Mus musculus: one gene and its partner. The protein of the gene in region 2 interacts with the protein of the main gene of each other region in a biochemical or structural test. Links are inferred from orthologs where the notes say so. Each region holds a gene or a part of one and is shown on either strand. Other genes may lie near its edges. The genes, in order: Snap29 and Ehd1.

Region 1 (6,222 bases), on a different chromosome or scaffold from region 2:
AGCCACCTCTTTGGCTGCTCTATTATTGCTTAAAAAAAAAAAAAAAAAAGATTTATTTATTTTATGTATGTGACTACACTGTCACTGTCTTCAGACACACCAGAAGAGGGCATCAGATCCCATTACAGATGGTTGTGAGCAACCATGTGGTTGCTGGGAAATTGAACTCAGGACCTCTGGAAGAACAGTCAGTGCTCTTCACCACTGAGCCATCTCTCCAGCCTTTTTGTTGCTATTTCAGACAGGCTCTCACTCTATAACCCAGGCTCACTATTCCAAGTGATGGGATTATAAGTATGCACCACTATAAACTGGCTGGAAGTTTACCTTTCAGTCTGATTAAGAATTATATTTCTGCCGGGCACGGTGGCGCACGCCTTTAGTCCCAGCACTCAGGAGGCAGAGGCAGGCGGATTTCTGAGTTTGAGGCCAGCCTGGTCTACAAAGTGAGTTTCAGGACAGCCAGGGCTATACAGAGAAACCCTGTCTCGAAAAACCAAAAAAACCCAAAAAACCAAAACAACAAAAATCCAAAAACAACAACAACAAAAAAAGCTTTAATCCCAGCACTCAGAGGCAGGCAGATTTCTGAGTTTGAGGCCAGCCTGGTCTACAAAATGAGTCCCAGGACAGCCAGGGCTACACAGAGAAACCCTGTCTCAGAAAACCAAAAAAAAAAAAAAAAAAAAAAAAAAAAAAACCCCAAATATCCAACTATACTTTTTAAAAAAAAAAATTATGTTATGCTTGGCTACACATATGTATGTGTACCATGTGTGTGATTGGTGCTCAGAGGTCAGAAGAAGAGACTGAGTGCCCTGGTCTTCTGTAAGAGCAACAAGTGCCCTTAGCTGCTGGGCCATCTCCCTAGCCCTGCCTTACAATTGAACACGGGGTGCTGAAGCCTGCCAGGTTCCTTTGTATGATTTTATTGTATTTCTGCTCAAAAATTTTGAGGTAAACAATCTATAATTTTAAAGTATAAATTAATGGACAGATTAGGTTAGATATAGAGAAGATGTAAATGAGATTTTTACATACTCATATATGTATGTGTGTAACATGTATGTATGATTAATTTTTGTGTGCTGGTGGGAATGGAATCTAGGTCTTCACATTTAGGCAAGCCTTCTACTAATATACCACACTCCTAGCCTACATGTGTACATGTTTGTATGTATGTACGATACATTAGATTACATTTAATTTGTGTGTGTAAATATGTGTGGGATAAGAGGAAAAGGTGTTGGGAGTTTATTCTGGGTTTCCAACCATGTCACCAGGTTTGATGGCAGGCACATTTGCCTGGGGAGCCATATCACCAGCGCAGCCATATAGATTTCTTTGTTTTGTTGTGTTTTGTGAGACAGGTCTCACGGCTGGTGTTAAGATCTAGTCTTCTTGCCTTATCTTCCTAAGTTGCTCTGATCACAAGTATGTACTGTCACATCTGGCTTATTTATCAGTATGCTTTTTTTCCTAAAATGAGGCTTTGCTTAATTGCCTGACTTTGCCTTGAACTTGCTATCCACCTGCCTTAGGTCTCTTCAAGGTGAGATTACACACAGGCCCCACTATGTCTGGCTTTTGGAATGACTTGATAAAGAAACAGTCTGTAAAAAGAACCACATTTTTAGTGATTAAACTTTCTAAGAGTGGAGTATTTTTCATGAATTAGATGATCAGTTGGGTATAAGGGTATAATTAGATGAACAGTTGGGTATAAGATTTCTCATGAGTAGGTCCCTTCCCATGAGTAACCCACAAGGTTCCAGGATACCTTAACAGCACTGACAAGGTCTGAAAGCCTTGGCTCCTTCACACAGCCTGTCTCTACTGTTTTATGTATCCAATGCAGACGCTGCACTCACCTGCTGTTGGGCTGGGAGACGATGCTGCCATTCTGCTCAGGTGGAGGCTCTACTGGTTTGGATTTGAAGTAGTTGATAAATCCTCCAAACACACTCTTAATGCTGTTGATATGTTTCTGGCTCATCTTCAAATCCTGATCCATCTTGTCTACCATCTTCTCTGTGTGTTCTAGGACTCCTCGCTGCCGGACCAGCTCCTGCAGAAGGCAAGAGACAGTAGCATTATGCCATTTCCACTATTTCCAAAAATCATAGTATATTTAAGTCTGGAGCTGGGAACGTAGCTCCATTGGTAGAGTGCTTATCTGGTTTGCACAAAATCCTGGATGGATCCTTAGCACTCCATCAACCAGGCCTGGGCACACAAACCTGTAACCCCACAACTTGAGAGGCAGAGGCAAGAGGATTAATTTAATGTCATATAGTGACTTTGAGGGAGGCCTGGACCAGGTGAGACTCAGTCTCAAAAAATCATCTAGATAGGAATGGCAGCCCATGCTTTTAGTCCCAGCACTTGGGGACTTTGGGGGAAGAGTCAGGTTGGTGGTGTAACTTCTAGGCCAGGCTAGTGCTTTATCTGGTTTCCCACAGGGCTGCTGCTGCTTCCATCCTTTTCTAGAATATTAGAATATTACAAAGTAATGGGCTTCCTTATAACATTTCCTCCCACCAGCTCCCCCAAACTTCTAGGCCTTCAGGACTACATAGAGAGACCTTGCCTCAAAAAAAAAAAAAGTTTAAAATCATGTATTTATTATTCTGTTTGAGGGCTGGTGGTTACATGTGGAGATCAGAGGACGACTTAAGGGAGGTGACGTCACTCCTTTTACCATGTAGGTGCTGAGGATCAAACATAAGTTTTTAGGGTCGACAGTACAAATTGATCCAGCCCGCTGGCCCCTTTATGCCATTTCACATTGACGTTTGGTTTGCTCCCCTGCTCTCCTCTGTCCCTGCTCTATCACTGCAGACCCTGGCCCTGTATTCCTCCTTCCACTTATGTATCACATGGTCATGGATCCTCCGCACCTATCTTAAAGTACCCCTCCCATCTTAGGGGTCTTTTTCAAGCTTCACAGACTCTACCCACACTTACACCTACTTAAATAGACATGTTTTATAGTTAGAAAGTAGGATTCAAGTCTAGCATGGTGGTGCACACCTTCAGCCCCAGCACTCAGGAGGCAGAGGCAAGCAAATCTTTATGAGTTTGAAGCCAGCCTGAGTTTGGTATACATAATGAGTTCTAGGACATCTTGGACTACTTATAAAACCCTGTCTCAAAACCAAAAACAAACAAAAAACAAAACAAAAATCCTAGCCAAATTACTGAGCAAGAGCACAAGAGAGCGTGAGAGGAAACCATGATTTGCATGAGAGAACATGTGAGATGCTTTCTGAGCCTAGACTACAGTACTTAATGGAATATTTTCTAGTTTCATATATCTTCCTACAAATTTCATAATTTCTATATGGTTTAATAAAATGCCACTATGTATATGTACCACATTTTCATGATTCATTTGTCCATTAACATTTTTTAAAGATTTATTTTATGTATATGAGTGTTCTGCCTTCATGGATATATGTGTGCTGCTTATGTGCCTGCTGCCTATGGAGATCAAAGAAGGGCACTGGATACCCTGGAACTGGAGTTATGGATGGCTATGAACCACCATGTAGGCTGGGAACTGAACCTGGGTCCTTCACAAGAGCAAAAAGTGTTCTTAACTATTGTCTTAGTCAGGGTTTCTATTCCTGCACAAACATCATGACCAAGATGCAAGTTGGGGAGGAAAGGGTTTATTCGGCTTACACTTCCATGCTGCTGTTTATCACCAAAGGAAGTCAGGACTGGAACTCAAACAGGTCAGGAAGCAGGAGCTGATACAGAGGCCATGGAGGGATGTTCTTTACTGGCTTGCCTCCCCTGGCTTGCTCAGCCTGCTCTCTTATAGAACCCAAGACTACCAGCCCAGAGATGGTCCCACCCACAAGGGGCCTTTCCCCCTTGATCACTAATTGAGAAAATGCCTTACAGTTGGATCTCATGGAGGCATTTCCTCAACTGAAGCTCCTTTCTCTGTGATAACTCCAGCTGTGTCAAGTTGACACACAACTAGCCAGTACAACTATTAAGCCATCTCTCCAGCTTCTACTCACCTATCTATAGACATTTAGGTCAATTCCATGCCTTTGGTATTGTGGAAAGAACAGGAACAAACATGGAATCCTTTGGGTATACACCCAGGAGCACATAGCTAGATCACTATTTCTAGATTTTGTGAGGATTTCCACACTGTTCTCATAATGGCTACACCAGTTATATTCTCACTGCAGTGAATAGTGTTTCTTTCTCTTACCATCTTTGCTAGCATTTATTGTATTTTGTCTTCTTTTCCTCTCTCTTTCCTTTCTCTCTCCTTCCCTTCCTTCCTCCCTCCCTCCTTACATACCTTCTTCCTTTCTTTTTCTCTCTTTTTGTTTTTTGAGACAGGGTTTCTCTGTGTAGGCCAGGTATCTCTGCTAATAATAAACTAAACTTTTGATACTGTAACCAACCCCAATTAAATGTTTTCCTTTTTAAGCATTGCCTTGGTCAACGGTGTCTGGTCACAAGAATAAAACCCTGACTAAGATAGCATGTGTCATCATAGTCCAGTTTTGTTTTTTGTGAGTTTTTTTGTTTTGTTTTATTCTTTCGAGACAGGATCTCACTGTGTAGCCTTGGCTATCCTAGAAACAGGCTATGTAGACCAGACTGGTCTCAGATTCAGAGATCCACCTGCTTCTGCCTCTTGGTGTTGGGATTAAAGGTACCATGCCTGTCTAAGATGTTAGAACTTTAAAACATATTTATTATCTACCTGCATTTCTTCCTTTGAGAACCATCTGGGCAGTTTCTTAACCCTCTTATTGACTAGCAGTGTGGTGGTTTGAATATGCTTGACCCAGGGAGTGGTAGTCACTTCCCCAGCTGAGCCATCTCCCTAGCCTCCTGCTTGTGAGGTAGTCACTTACCACTAAGCCATCTTCCCAGCCTTACATTTCCTACTAAGAAAAGTCTCTTGCTCCTAGATGTATTTAGGAATGTTTTCCTCAAGCAGCTCCAGCATATTAATATGAAATCAAGGTTTCTGACCCAGTTTGGATCATGTGCAGAGTGAGAGATGGGAATCTAATTTCAGTTTTGGGCAGATGTTTATTCAGTGTCGCCAGCATCACTTATTGTAGAAGCTATTATCTAATGTATGCTTTTAATACCTTTGTAAAAAACAAAACAAAAAGGATATCTAGTCTCCTTTCCCTGGCTGCACAATGCCTGGGGGGTTGTCAGAGCTCTGGCAGCCTTCCTCACAAAGCCCAGGAAGCTGAAAGTCCTGAGTGGGCCAGTACAGTCAAACTGGTCAAACATAAAAAGCTTGCCCCCTGTGATGGTTTGTATATGCTTGGTCCAAGGAGTGGCACTATTAGCAGGTAGCCCTGTTGGAGTAGGTGTGTCATCGTGGGCATGGGCTTTTAAGACTTCTATCCTAGCTGCCTAGAAGCAGTCTTCTCCTACCTGCCTTTGGAACAGGAGGTGAACTATCAGCTTCTCCAGTCCCATGTCTGCCTGGACAATGCCATGATTCCACTTTGATAATAATGGACTGAACGTCTGAACCTATAAGCTAGCCCCAATTAAATGTCCTTTATAAGAGTTGCCTTGGTTGTAGTGTCTGTTCACAGCAGGAAAACACTAAGACACCCCCTATGATAGGAACTGGTTGTACATATGAGCTGCTTCCACAGCATGGCTCCTGTATCTCCATGGTGGTGCCAGGGTGTGGCCAGTGCATTTCCCTGCGGAGTTATCTCCCCAGCCCACTTTTTTTTCAACGTATAGAAGAAAGTTTATTTGGGTTTATGGTTCCAGAGTAATAAGAGTCCATCATGATGGGGAGACATAGCAGTAAGATAATGATGGCAGGAACAGGGAGCTGAGGGTTCATATTGTGGACCACAAGCAGGAAATAGAAAGCTGACACCTAAGTTTGATTGATTGATTGATTGATTGATTGGTTGATTGATTTGGTTGGTTTTTCAAGACAGGGTTTCTCTGTGTAGCCCTGGCTGTCCTGGGACTCACTTTGTAGACCAGGCTGGCCTCAAACTCAGAAATCTGCCTGCCTCTGCCTCCTGAGTGCTGGGATTAAAGGCGTGTGCCACCACACCTGGCATAAGTTTTATTTTTTTTGTTTTTGTTTCTTTGAGTTCCTCTGGGTAGCCCTGGCCATCATGAAATTCTCAGAGTGATCACAAACTCACAATGATACAGTTCTAAGAAGAGGGGAAAATTGGTTTCTCAGCA
Region 2 (6,782 bases):
TCTGGGCCCCTTGAGCCTCAGTGAGGGAGGGAAAGAGGAAGGGTGAGGAGCCCTTCTGGCCCTCTCAGTTCCTTGGACAAAGCTGAGTGGACGCACACATCTCATCTCATTTATAAATAACCCAGGGACATTTTGTTTTCTGTTTTCTGGGGCTGGGTTTTCTCAGCACACAGGACTCTGGGGAGACGTGAAGACCATGACCGGTCAGTCTGAGTGTTGCTGGAGACACAGTATCATGTAGTTATCCAGACGGCTAAACAACCACCTCATTTAGGATCCTCTGCCTCCGGCTCTTCTCTGAACCAGCCCTGAAATTACATCTCCGGGGCGGACCCTCATCTAGGCTGCGTAGGAGGCAGAAATCATTTAGCGTCCAAGGCTGGCCAAGGTCTGGACTGGGCTTGCCTGAGGCTCCTGTCACGAGTTGGCACACAGCTGATGGTCACAGCCCCTGTCCAAGAGCTTCTTCCTAAAAATGGGGGCCCGTGACTTCTGCGCCTTATTGTGATGGATGGAAAGAAGGCTAATGAGATGAGGGTTGTCGGGACAGCTCAGTAGGACAACACACTTGTCAGGGCTGTTGATCCAGGGCCCACATGGTAGAAGGAGAGAGTTGTAGAGGAACAGCTATGAAGCATATGCATGCCTTGCCTGTTAACTAAAACGCCTATGGCCTATGGCTTAAGAAGGAAATAGAAGGTGGAACATATGGAGGAGAAAGAATTCTGAGAGAGGAGGAGGTGGGAGATTTGCCAGGAAGATGTAAGGAGCATGCTACCTGAGCACAGGTAACCAGCCAAGGCAGAATGTAGGTTACTATAAATGGGTTCTATTTAGCTATGATCTAGTCAGAGAAGAGCCTAGCTTATGGCCTAGATCTTTGTAAATACATTATTAGTCTGAGTCTTATTCCTGGGAGCATGGGGCTGGGAGGAAGAATCAAAGTCTAGCCTCAACAGGGAACTCCAGAAAGTTGTCTTCTGACTTGTATCATGGCACACTCAACCCCTCCACCATGGTACACTTGACTCCCCCATGGCACACTCACCCCCTCCACCATGGTACACTTGACTCCCCCATGGCACACTCATCCCCCTCCCCCCCGTGGCACACTCACCCCCTCCACCAAAGTACACTTGCCTCCCCATGGCACACTCACCCCCCCATAGCATACTCACCCCCCCATAGCACACTCATCCCACCCCCCCATAGCACACTCACACCCCCATAGCACACTCACCAAATGGCACACTCACAATACCCCCCCCACCACACAAAAAAGGAGAAACTCCAGATCAAAGAAGAAGCCTGGCCCAGAGCCTGCAGGCAGGCTGGGATTTGCTTGTCTCTGGCAATGATCTCTGAACCTTCCCACCTTGCCTTCTCTGGATCCCACTTGACTGAGATCCCTCAATATACACACGGCTCTTTCTTCCTGTGAGATCCCACTGTTTTCTCCCCGCCTAACCCCACATAGGTGTCTAGCTCACAGGCTTCCAAATCAAAGTTTTCAAGTGGGATCCAAGGCTTTCAAGTTCCCATGATTTTCTGTTGGCTCTAGTGCTGTTGGGGATGGGCCCTACTGGCTTGTGCACGCTAAGCAAGTGCTTCTACCACTAAGCTATGAATTTAGCCTCATCGATAAATATTTTGTCTTTTTTTTTTTTTCTTTTAAGACAGCGTCTGTTGTCGAGGCTGGCCTCAAATCGATGGGTTCAAGTGATCCTCCAACCTTTCCAAACAGTTGAGACCACAACTGTGTGCTAAACAACTCCTCCGGTGCCTTTTAGACTTCTCCAATGGCCCTTAGATCCTCCTGCCACTTGGGTGACCTGATATTAGTTACCTAACAATCATAGTCCCCAAATCTCTGACATCACCCACTAGACACCAGCAGACACAGCCAAGGGGGCTTAGGTGTGGCCAGGTATGATGGTGGGGAACAGCTACCAACTGGAAACAGGTTGGGACTCAGAACGGAACAAGAGATGGTACTGGTGGTGTCCCTGACAGGAAAGCGGAAATTTTGGGGCTTTTAATTTCCCCTAAGTTCCCACAACATTTCATTGTTGCTCAACACTGCCCCTCTTCCTTACAAAGGGTATTTCCGATTTCACTTCCTCCAAACTCATCTAGCCAGAAAGCTGCAACTTTTTACCCCATTCCGCAGCTGGCACCGCCTTGGTGAAAACTCCCCGCTAGGTCACGTCAATTGTTTCCATTGCCGTGTCCCTCTCCCATCAGTCTGAGTGGAGTCCCAGCGCACTCTTCCTCCTTCCTTACCGATATTCCTCTTCCCGGTGTCCTGTACTCCCTCGGCTTTCCCTATTCCCGCTGTCCTGTCCCTCTCCAGAGTCGCTAAAAGACCAAAGGGTGAGGCTCCCGATGCTTTTGGGAGTTCCTAGCCAGCGGAAACACTGCAGTTGGGGAGCGCAGCTGAAGTACTTGGGGGTGTCCGGAAGCCCACACGTGCTAGATGGTGCTCAGACTTAGTACATCTCGACGCCAGACTCTGGCACCCGCGACCGCCACACTTCCACGAGCCATCCCTCGAGGGGCGGAGCAAAACAGGTGCGGTTGCCAAGGCACCGCAGCCACGAGCTCGCGATATTTGAAATCAGCTAATGGGAAGCAGAAGAGGACGTGGCACGCGAATGGGGCGGGGCCTGGAGGGCTCTTCCCCCGCCTCCTCTCGGGCCAGCCTCGAGGCGGCGGCCAGCGTGCGGGAACGCCGGGCTCCGGCTTATTATAAAGGGGCGGCTCGACGAGGTTCGCGCGACCCTCGGCAGAGGGCGCTGTCGTGGTCCTCACGCCGGCCCTCGAGCCTGCGCCTGCGCGGTGCGGGCAGCGCCCCGCCCCCTGCCCCTCTGCCCTCCGCCGGCCGGCCGGCCCCTCCTCGGCCGCGCGCCCCAGTCCCGCTCAGCCACCGCTCCGTCCTGTAGCAGCCAGCCCCGTCTCCGGCATCATGTTCAGCTGGGTGAGCAAGGATGCCCGCCGCAAGAAGGAGCCGGAGCTCTTCCAGACGGTGGCCGAGGGGCTGCGGCAGCTGTACGCGCAGAAGCTGCTGCCGCTGGAGGAGCACTATCGCTTCCACGAGTTCCACTCGCCCGCGCTGGAGGACGCTGACTTCGACAACAAGCCGATGGTGCTCCTGGTCGGCCAGTACAGCACCGGCAAGACCACCTTCATCCGCCACCTGATCGAGCAGGACTTCCCGGGGATGCGCATCGGGCCGGAGCCCACCACCGACTCCTTCATCGCGGTCATGCACGGCCCCACCGAGGGCGTGGTGCCCGGCAACGCGCTCGTCGTGGACCCGCGGCGCCCCTTCCGCAAGCTCAACGCCTTCGGCAACGCCTTCCTCAACAGGTACCCACCCCTTGCCCCCCAGCGCGAGGATACCAAAGGCCTCCGGAGCCATTGCCCCCAGCCGGCCTTTGTCTCCGAGAGCCCCCGCCAGACCCTAGGCGACCACTCCCAGGGACACCGGCTTTGCTGCGTCCCACTAACTACCCGAGAGAAGTTAGAGACTAGGCATCGTCCACTCTTCTGGCTTCTGTCATTCCCAGAACCTTCCAGGTTTTCAGTTTAACTCTCACATCCTCCTGCAGACCCCAGACCTACTTCCCACAGAGCGGGGGGCTGCTGTGAGAAGATGAACCATTGCTGTCCCCCCTTTCTTGTTCCTCATTCTGGAGGCACCCAGCTCATTCTCATGAATCCCCCTCCTCCTCTGGGGTCCGTTTTTAAAGTGTGTGTCCTGGGAAACCTCGAGACTTAGATGTTCCTTTTGCTAGTGTGTCACTCTCTGCGTCACATCTCCAGGGACCAGTGGTTTTGTGTAGGAAGGGCGCGGAGGCTATGCTTTGGTCTGCTGATTTGGGGGCAGCCCCCTTTGAAGGCAGGGGATGAAGGAGTCCCAACACCCCTCCTAAAAGCAGCACTTACGTGAATGCCAAACCAGCCAGGAGTACAGGAGACAACCCTGTCTCAAACACAACAAAACAAAAAAAGCTTAAGTCAGTGTTGCCTCAGGAGACTTCAGGGACTTCAGGGGGTGGTAACACTGTGGCTCCTGAAATGACCAGACCCATAGTCTAGGATAGATTGGATAGACTTCGTGTGTCTCCTGGAGTCTCAGCTTAACCAGTTCCCGGTGAGTTAGAGTCAGCCCCTCAGGATGCTATGAATGAATCACAGTGGCCTGCCTGAGGAGCTCTTAACACCCAGGATCTTTAAGGGCATTGGGGCATCCCAGACTCCTCCCACAGGAGGTATGACAGGACTCACAGACCCTGCCCTCTCTGCTCCCTCTTTCAAGGAGTGACTCTACATGCCTTTCGACTTCTGCATTCTGCCTAGGGGAACAGCCTTGGAAAGAATGTGAATCCTGCTTTCCAGGTCTCCGCCCTGTGTGAGCACATTCCTCTGTAGACACTGTCCGGCCCAACAGGGCGGGCCAGCTTGTTCTAGAGCAAGCTTGCTGCCAGGCCTGCCTCCTTTCAAGGAGCTGATCTTTAACGTCCTTTTGTCCCTTCTAGGCAATTTCAGCCTATCTTGTTTTATGATAATGGTGTGTGCTTGACAGCCTGGGTTGTATACTATGCTCAAGTCCCCTTAGCCTGGAGCCTTTGCCTAAGGATGTTTGAGCTTTGCCGCCCCTGTAGGTAGGCCATTGGCTCAGATTGCAGTTGGTGGGAGCCTTTGGTCTTGAGAGAAGTTTGGCTGCTGGGCTAAGGAGTTCGTTCATGCTTTAGGTCTCTGCCTCAGGAGAGACTGGAAGACTTGCTGTTCCAACTGCTGCTGCCTTCCTCTGTCTTCACCTCACTGTGAGGGCAGACCTCTTGTGAAATGAGGAACTTGGCACCTTCTCAGTTTCCCACCTGTGGAAATTCAGAACTTAAAGGGCTAGAGGACCGCCCACACCATCCCAGTAGCCCCCAGCTCACTCAGTAACTCATGAATCCTAGGTCCTGCTGAACTGTCAAGGTTAATAAGGCTGTGTACCCTGTACACTCACTACTACCTCTGTCCTCCCAAAAGAAACAACTTAGGAGGTCTGGCCTGGGGTACAGGGATCCAAGAACTATACATCCATTTCCTTCTTGCCACCACCAATTCCAGAGGGTCTCTAAATGCTGGTGAAGTCCAAGACCGGAGCTGTGTCAGGATGTGCCTCTGGCCAGGGAGGGCACAACAAAGGGGGCTTTTCTCTGGCTGATACAGCTTTTCCTGGAACTCTTAAAGGGACCCATTGAGTCATGAACTTGATTTATTAGCCCCCCCCCCCCAGGGCTGCTCAGAGATAGTGAGAGGAACAAATGGAGACAGGCATAAAGCAATCCCAAAAGGGGTTTGTGAACGCCCCTGCTTGCTTAGCTGGACCCACCCACTAGTCCTAAGGACTCAACTCCCCATCCCTGTTCCTAGGGAGACATCCTTACAGCCTCTTGCCTTTCTTGTGGTCCCCTTACCGGGCCTTGCGGAGTAGTGGGTTCTCATGGACCTGCAGATGTGCCTATGGGACCTCTTTGTGTCTGTTACTTCTCAGCGCCAGCTCCACTTCCACTCTGGCTTTCTTTCACTCTCTCTCCATTGAGTAGAGGATTTCTTCCCAGGCAAGGGGAATTGAGGTGTGGTGTGCAGTGACTTACAGCACTGGGCTCTGCTACACTTGGACACAGTGCTTTTTTTCCCTTTGGCCTGCTGTCCCCGGCCCATGGGGAGACTCACCATCATAACTTGGGGTGTGGAGCCACAGGAGACACTCACTTACTTGCTCCCCACTGGGGAAAGCCCAGTTTTAAGCCTGTATCTGGCAGACCTTGCGTCTGTATTTTCTTTGCTCAGAGAGCTTTTTAAAGGAGCCCTTTCTCTGTCCACTAAAGAACCCCACCCTTTACATCAGCTGATAGCTGCTCTGAGCTGTTCTGCTAAACTCCTAGCTCAACATGGAACTCTGATATGCAGCTAAGCCCTTACCCAGGGTTCACTAATATCCCTCTGTTGGCTTTCTCTTCCTAGGCTGGTTTTGACTTTGAAAGAGTGGTGTGTCTGTACCCCTTCCACAGCGCTGACTACTGCTGGCTCATTGCAGCTTCAAGCAGCTGGCTCCAGCAGCAGGGACTGTGGGCATGCTCAGTGGGAAGGTGAAGACCTGAGTTCAGAGTTCCAGCACCCTTTAAATATTGTACATACTGGAACTGTTTTTGCAAGCCTGTAATCCCAGCACAGGGGTTGGAGTAGGGTAGCAAAAAGAAGAGATCCCGGTACACCCTGGGGCCCACCAGCCAGTGAGCCTAGCTGAATCCGTGGGAGGTTCTGTCTAAGTGAGGTAGAGGAAGACACTTGAGGCTGTTCTCTAGCCCCCGTGTACCTCTGCCCACACACAGAAAGAGACCACGCTTCTTTTAGTGTGGGGGAGTTTAGCTAGATGGTTGGAGTTTCTTTTTTATCGATGTTGTTATTATTTTGCTTTGTTTCATTTTTCGAGGGTCTCTACATAACCCTGGCTGTCCTGGAACTCAACTATGTAGACCTGGCCAGCCTCACAGAGATCGCCTGCCTCTGCCTCCCTAGTTCTGGGATTAAAGGCATGCGCCGTCATGCCCACCTTTGTTACTGGTTTCTTTTACATTTATTTATTCTGTGCAAGCATAGTTGCTGCAGCACTTATGGTCAGCGGATGGTGTGGAGCAGCCTTCTCCCTCCACCGTGTGGCTCTGAACATTGAACTGAGGTCATAGGGCTCCGTGGCGAGTGTCCTGCCCACTGAGCAGCAT

What was found.
Region 1: the proteins of Ehd1 (region 2) and Snap29 form a complex in vitro, tested with the Homo sapiens proteins (2 studies listed by BioGRID). The link is inferred for Mus musculus from reciprocal best matches to the Homo sapiens genes EHD1 and SNAP29.

The regions. Positions count from the first base shown.
Region 1 is NC_000082.6:17,415,110-17,421,331, reverse strand, and holds part of Snap29 (synaptosomal-associated protein 29), read right to left. Parts: intron 2,069-6,222; coding exon 1,872-2,068; intron 1-1,871. UniProt on the Homo sapiens protein: SNAREs, soluble N-ethylmaleimide-sensitive factor-attachment protein receptors, are essential proteins for fusion of cellular membranes.
Region 2 is NC_000085.6:6,274,010-6,280,791, forward strand, and holds the start of Ehd1 (EH domain-containing protein 1), read left to right. Parts: upstream 1-2,886; 5' UTR 2,887-2,965; coding exon 2,966-3,369; intron 3,370-6,782. UniProt on the Homo sapiens protein: ATP- and membrane-binding protein that controls membrane reorganization/tubulation upon ATP hydrolysis. In vitro causes vesiculation of endocytic membranes. Acts in early endocytic membrane fusion and membrane trafficking of recycling endosomes.